Drosophila melanogaster: one gene and its partner. The protein of the gene in region 1 interacts with the protein of each later gene in a pairwise test. Each region holds a gene or a part of one and is shown in the gene's direction. Other genes may lie near its edges.

The links. Proteins that work in one complex are often made in the same cells at the same time.
Region 2: the proteins of CG6290 (region 1) and ced-6 interact in a two-hybrid assay, tested with the Drosophila melanogaster proteins (one large-scale study listed by BioGRID).

Annotation. Positions count from the first base shown.
Region 1 is NC_004354.4:18,435,940-18,438,741, forward strand, and holds CG6290 (uncharacterized protein), read left to right. Parts: upstream 1-1,550; 5' UTR 1,551-1,564; coding exon 1,565-2,212; 3' UTR 2,213-2,294; downstream 2,295-2,802. Other genes in the region: CG32548 (uncharacterized protein), read right to left, coding at 1-862.
Region 2 is NT_033778.4:9,441,902-9,446,661, reverse strand, and holds the start of ced-6 (ced-6), read left to right. Parts: upstream 1-1,724; 5' UTR 1,725-1,978; coding exon 1,979-1,989; intron 1,990-4,760. Other genes in the region: Camta (Calmodulin-binding transcription activator), read right to left, coding at 151-229. UniProt on the Drosophila melanogaster protein: Plays a role in axon pruning in larval mushroom body neurons during metamorphosis. Plays a role in the infiltration of glial cell processes into mushroom body lobes and the subsequent engulfment of degenerating axon branches.

The DNA of each region.
Region 1 (2,802 bases):
CCAGCACGGAGGACATGGGAACGGCCATCCCATAGCTCTGGCGGGTGGTGGGCGCCAACTGGCTGGTGGCGAACTGATGGGCCACCGACTGCTGCTGGTCACGGAGCACGTCCTGCTGCTGCTGCTGCATGAAGCCCATGTGCTGTTGCGTGGAGTAGAAGTCTCCACTTGCTCCCCCTCCCAGACTGTTGGAGCGCAAAGGCGCTGATCCGATCACTCCTCCCGGGATGACTCCAACTGGACCTCCTCTTACTGGACCTCCGGGCACAATGGATCCGGATGCAAGGCGCTCGGGCTGCAGGCCATTGTTGCTGAACTGCGGCCGACGGTAGGCGAAGCGGCCAGCTGCGTTCTGTGCTGCCACGCCCGCCGGAGCGCCTCCCACATCGGCGGGAGCAGCTATCTGGGGGGTTTGGGGTTGAATCTGATGAGCCGGTGATGTTAGGCCGCCGGATACATCGGGATAGTAGTGGTAGAGCTTCTGCAGCAGGTGCTGCTGCTGCTGCTCGAACTCGGCTCGTTGGCGCTGATAATCGAGGAAGGCGGCGTGCATCTGGTCCGCATAGCTGGGCATGTTGACCACGCCACCGCTAACGCCCACTCCTGGTCCGGATGCAGCTGCTACCTGCGGCGATGTGGCGGCCAGGAGTTGCTGCTGCTGCTGCGCCAGGAGCTGCTGTTGCTGCTGTTGCTGCTGTTGCTGCTGTTGCTGCTGTTGCTGCTGTTGCTGCTGTTGCTGCTGCTGGAGCAGCGAGTTGGGCGTGACCTTCAGCTTACCATCGGCCCGGAATCCTGGCTGCGAGTACACGGCAGGATACTGCTGTCCCGACGGCGAGAATCCACCAAATTGCGTGGGAGTTTGCTGCATAGGTTAGAGGAATAAACGGATGAGAATGGAAGCTAAACCAGGACAATTTTATCCTTATTCTGAACTGGCTTAAATGATATTTAGATGAGTGTCTAATGTGCGCAAGTAGTAGGCCGTTTTCGATGTGTAACTTTTGATTTCGTTTTGTAAAATATTCATACAATTGAGCTTATAACACGCTTTCCTTTACTCACGGATGAAAGGCCACGCCCGTGATTCTTGATAATTGAGTGCTGGGAACCCAGGCATCCCTTTCCCCACTGTCCCTCCGCGTCAGCCAATCGACTGGCGTTGCCCCCACGAACTTTGCTGGATCTCATGATTCCCTGTTGTTCCGTTTGTCGCGATGTAAACTTAAAAGTTTTGACGAGAGGTTGTGTAGCTCGAGTGTGGATAGCCAAAAATTGATTTTCAAATTCAGATTTTGATACAATTTGTTTACGAAGTCTGTAGCGGGAAAAATTGTAAAACGAACCGATCTGAACCGACTGAGCGAGCAAGTGATACTGACTGGATAGCTCAACCAGTCCGGTGACACCTGACAGCTGTCGTCGGGCCAATCCGAAAGCCTACTGTGATCTCTACTAGCCATCGGTGCCATGGTGTGGATTCAAATCGATATGTATCGAAGGGAATCACGCGATTCGATGGCTTAAAAAGCGCGGATGCAATGCCGCAACCTTACAGTTAGAAACGATGAATCGCCATCAGCTGGCACTTCTCCTGGTTGTCGCGGGTCTGGCCATGATTGCGGCCAGGCCAGGTCCACAGAATCCGCTAGAGTCGCTGGGCATGGGCGCCATGTCTCTGGCCGGAAATATAGCGGAGGCAGTTCAGAGTGGCGCCGCCATCTCCCGCGACGTCGACATTGACAATCCCCTGATGTCCGTGCACTCGAAAACGGCCGTTGGCTATGGAGATGCCATACGTCCCATTGCCACCGATTCATCCGAGGAGGATCGTCGTCGGAAGCGAAGGCGGCGGAGCCTGCATCGCCTCAAACGCGCTCCTTGCTTCTGGAAAATGAGCGCTGCCGCCACCACAGCGGCGTCCGCCGACGATGACGTGGAGGCCAGACGGAGACGAGCTCAAAAGCGGGCCGCCAACAATGCCTCCCGATCCCGAGTGAGTCCCAAGACCACTGGCAAAAAGAACAAGAAGTTGGTGCGACGACGACGGCAGGAGGAGAAGGGCATGGAAGTGACACAGAATATGGACGGAGCGGATCCCTTGGGCCTGGGCACCAGAATCAAGGCCATGTGGCTTTCGTTTGTGAACAACGTAGCGGATGTGGTGCAGCAGGTGCGCCAGAAGATCACCGAAACGGCCAACTCCACGGCGTAGAATCACCGAGCTCCCTGACGACCACCATCGAGTGTATTTTTTTTGTTTGTTTATAAGTGCAATAAAATCAACTGAAAACCGGAAACTGTGTTGAGCGGCATGTTTTCTGGGTTGGCCAAAAACATTACGATTACGTCTTCATTCAAATATGTACTATAGATTACATCCATTTTAAGACCCCATCATATTATCAATGTAGTAGCCAATTAAGGCCAATCACCTTTGGTAAAAGGTGACCCCAAACGGCATTAGAGTCAAAAAAAACGTGTACTCCGTCTTTAAACTACAAATGCTTGTGAGCTCAACTAAACATATCACCAAGGTGACCCAAAACTTGGAATCCGGTTACCATTTTAAAGTGGCATACCTTTAAGAACTCAACCTTATTTGTTGCTCTTTAAAAAGGTCACCGCCGAAGAGTCACCCCCAATCGATAAAGATTCCTCAGGCAGAGGCAATAAAGCAAAAAGCGAACTGTCATTTCTGAGCAATCCGATCGAAAGTGGTCCGAGGAGAAGGCCATTGGGGTCACCACAGCAACTCGACTACTGAAGGCTGTCCAGATGGGAGATACGGAAACGAGCCGAGTC
Region 2 (4,760 bases), on another chromosome or scaffold:
AAAAACTAATTGGAAAACCAATATCGAGGAGAGCACGACTATCAGGTCGAAAATCGGGAGATACGTGGGCTACAGCACAGATATAACTTACATATATGCATGTAGAAGAGGGATGGGTGATAGGGGTAGGGGGAGTTGGGGCTAACTTACTTTGGAGTTTCAGTGTGGAAGTTGAATTAGAAGTAGAAGAGGACGAAGCGCTGGTGGAAATATCGGGCACATTTTCCATGTGCACAGCTTTAACAACCAATTTTAGAATGCACTACTCTCTTAGCGGTTGGCACATTTATTTCGCTTTATTGAGAATGCATTTTCATTTTTGCACACCAGCTCGCACGCACACACACACAGGTGACATGGGCGCTCGCACACGCACACAGCGACACCGAAATCGCAGAACTCTGGGATATCGAAAAAAGGTAAACAAAACTTTTTCACTGCCTCCCTGTGCGCAAGCCGTGGAGTCCCTTGGCGGATTTCGATGTGCTTCAGCTGGACGATGCATAAAATGCAACAAAAATCAATAATATCACCGTTTCACACACGAAATTATTAAAAAAAAACGATAGCGAAAATATTTTGAGCTACTCCAAAACTGTGTGCATGTCAAACTGTCAAACATATGACGGCAAAGTTGCCAGATGTTGCAAAGGGCGAGCTCCCACAAAACTTAACGACAATGATTTCGAATTTTTTAAAATTGATAACTTATTATACAAGAAAGCAAGAATACTTTACAAGCCAATAACCTTGTAATCTTAACCTTACAAGTCTATGTTTGATATAAATTAGTTTAAACTATATCTAACCATCTGGCAGCACCCCAAGTGTTCCACTTATCGGCTTATCGGTCAAGATGACAACTCCAACATTCAATTATCGGAAATCGGGCACTATATTTAAAATATCGTATTGAATTTCAAATCCGGGTTTTGTTAGTCATTTTTTATACGTTTTATAATTATTTTCTTTCTGTTGAATTTTAAACTCCGATGTATCCCGCCGTGTCCGCTGTTTACCGCCGACGTCCAGCTGACGGTTCCACCCTTCTTTAACTTACATATGTATATGTACATTTCAACGAATCTAGTATACCCTTTCAGTCTACGAAAATTTTAATCTTAGTTCAATCAAATGATGTATATTAGTATATAGGTACATAGTCGATGGCCTCGGTTATATTATCTTAAATAAATAAATAATGAAGGATTGATGAATTTATAATGCATATTTGTCTTAAAAACGCTGAGATTGGTTTGCTTGGACGTGAGCAGGAAGTTCTATTCCTGCGACTTTTGTTAGAACCCAAGGAAAATATTACATACCATTCTAGTTCTTAGCTTAGTTCAATCATAAAGTTATATGTCAAAATCCTTTAAGAGGAGCATGCAAATGGGAAGTAAAATGGGCGTAAAATGTAAATGACATTTTGTGTAATTCGCATATGTACATTTGTATATTGTAAGCTATCAAAATATATGTATGTTTGTATGTATGTACAGCCCTTGAGACCGCCCATCATTGATAGGCAACGACTTTCGCCGAACTTTCCTTGGATTTTTCCAGCAGCCGACCCCGCGGTTTTCCGACCCCGCCTCGCTTCCCTCCGCTTCCCGCGACCAGCGGAAGTCTCGGGGCTCTGGCTCTATCAAAATCAACGGGCGGGGCGACTGAAGCGAACACAGAATAATTGCCATAGCTGTGTGCCAGTGCCAGTCAGTGCCAGCAGTTTGAAATCGACGACAACATCAGCAGCAACAAGCATTGCAACAACAGCGACGGCGCGGTGATAAGTCGGCTGCTGGCTGTATATTGCCGCTGGCTTGTTATTTTATTGTCGCTTTTGTTGCACATTGAAAATAATACACAAAATAATTGAATTACTCGAAATGTGTGCATGTCCGTGTGCGTGCCACTTGTGTATGTATGTGTGTGTGTCGTGCCTTTATGGGGGCGTTCAGGGCCCCGCTGATAAGCGATGATCAAGAGGTAAACGAGATAAGCGCTGCTCATTTGGAAGCACAGGCAACACGCGCTAAATGAACCCGCCAACTTGATAATCCGCGATCCCAGAAAACAAAATATTTGTCTTCTGAATTATCTTGTAATGATAATTTGACAGTTATTGTATATTAAGAAGGTCAATGTTTACTTATGGGAAGCATAATAAAGCTGAAATTAGAATTTTATGTTTATATCTATAGTTAGGATAATATGATATTCTCTCAATATTGCTACATTACATTGCTGGCTATAATTTAGGCATTGGAATTAATCCGAATCGCGTTGCTTGTTTGATTTGCAGCTTTGAGTTTCTTATTTACATATGTATATGCATTTTGTGGCACTTTGACAGTACTCCCCACTTTTGATTTCCTACAGTGTTCCCCGTGCTCGTCGACATGTGATAAGGAGCGTGAGGTGGAAACGTGACTCTCGGCGGGGCGGGCATCGGCACGTAAATTATGCTGATGACACCGGCTCCGCACCCAGGCTCTGAAAAAGCTGAAAAGCCCGAAAAACTGAGCGAGCGATTGCGCTTGAAAAATACCAGCACGTTCCTACGAGCTGCAAAGCAACAAGAATAACTGGCTTCGGCTGCCATTTTATTGCAGCGCACAAATATTTACAATACCATTTAATGACATTTCGCCTTATAAAACAATGAGTGAGAAACGTATTTTCTGGTTTCATGCATTTTATTTGGCTAATTGGGCCTTTGAACTCTATTGCTTTGATGATGAAAACGACGCCAAGATAACGTCATGTGCGACGAAACAAGCATTCGAAGTCACGCCCCCTCAGGACTCCCCTCAGCGCGCCCAACGAGCATACGCAGTCAACGCCCCTTGGCGACGATAACAATTCAAAAGAGACCCCGATCAAAATGCAATAGCGAGTTTTTAAAAGCCATTATTACTTGCAAATGGGGGGCAGATCGAACGCCCCCTCAATAAGTGCACATTGAACCATGTTGTTGGTGCCAGTTTCGCTGAGCCCTTCTAGGTTCTCCGTAGTACGAAAAATATCTATGTACTTATGTATAAAGCCAAGTCTCGTAGACATTTCTTCCAAGAAACACAATGTCGTTAAACAAACCTTTTAAAAATCCACATATGACTTCATTAGTTTGTTGCAAGCTTATGAATACATTCAATGTAGTTTTAATGAGTGGAAGCGGTTTAACTAGCAAGGTTGCAGTTTGAAAAGCCCAAAAATAGCGTTGCCCTTTGTTGCATAGGTCACCCTGTTGCTCCACGGAAAATCTCTCAATGAAAAGCCGTTCGGAGTCTTCCTTTTGGCCGGCGGAAAGGAAACTGGTAATAAAATTACAGCGGGAGAGAAAATAATAGCTGCAATATCTGCTGTCGGCGGCGCAGCTAGCGGCCTCTAACTGTAAATGGCCAATATTAAGCGGAGAGAAAAGCCGAAACAGGAGCTTAAAAGTCCGGCGAAGAGATAAAGAGAGAGAGATCGCGGTGACAGAGAGCGGGTGTGGGAAAATTGTACGTATGCCCAGATGCAGCGAAACGACAAGGAGAGTACTGTGGGCCAAACAAAGTTAAAATTCCCTGGGCCAGGAGGAATGCCTGAAATGATCTTATTAGTAAAGTTTTCCGTACAGAAACTTACTTGATCTTTAAAAAGCTGTTTATTCCCGTTTAAGGGTTTCAACCTCATTTACAGCCTTTAATATCGTTTACCTAGAAACCGAACAGCTATTAAATATTAAGTACCATAAGCTATTTGTGGTTTTCAGGCTTTCACGCCAATTTATTTTGCTAAACGGCTTTTGCATTCCACAGTGCCTGCATCCAAACTGAAACTACAATTGCAGTGGCCCCACACACACACATACCCTCATCACGCACACTCCTTTATGTCAAGCCGGTTTTATTTTGGTTAGTGAAGAGAGAGGGGCGGTTAAAGGGGAAGGGACTGCAGTTAAAATGTGGCAAAATGGAAAAGGAAAATGTGTACTAGAAAAATGCAAGGCATGCCACCAAACAATAACAACACCACTGCAGCATCGAAAGCAACAATTGGACACCGAATAACGACAACAATAATCAAATCCTGGTACATTATTATATGGTCGACTTGGGGAACCAGTTTTATTGCAATTTGTATTTGAAGCGGCCAAACAGCCCCAGAAATTACGTATTACGAAAATAAATAAATTTTTCTCTAAGCTGCTTCTGCTTCTTCGTCTTGTGCGGCTAATAACAAAAACAACGGCAATGCTGTGTCTTTGTTTTTACGTCAGGTCGAGATTACAAGCATACATATAGCTATAAGCAGGTTACATGTGTGTGAGCGCACTTCCCCCACCTGTTGCAGTAATTTTAATTGGCCAAAACCATTTCGGTGGAATCTCGAGACAGTGCCGTATGTTCTGGCATTTGTGGAAAATCATTTTTCTGGCAAAATGTAAAACAATTGAAAAGCAACAGGTAAACCAGCAGAAATACCCACACACACACATGCGGGCATTACTAAGCAGACATATGTTTGTGTGGCAGTGAGGCTCCAACCGCAAAAGAGAAAACTACAGCCGATCACGTTCTCACCTACACAAAACTCGTAGGTCATTTTGCTGGGGCACAACGACTTCAAGTGCATATGCCCTCATATTAGCTAAAAAATAAATCCTTTAATTTTCGGTAATATTCGGTTTTTTTTTTAAATCAACAAGCATTAAAATGAATAGTTCAATTTTTATATTATTTTTAAATGAACTTAAAATAAATTTTTAGTAT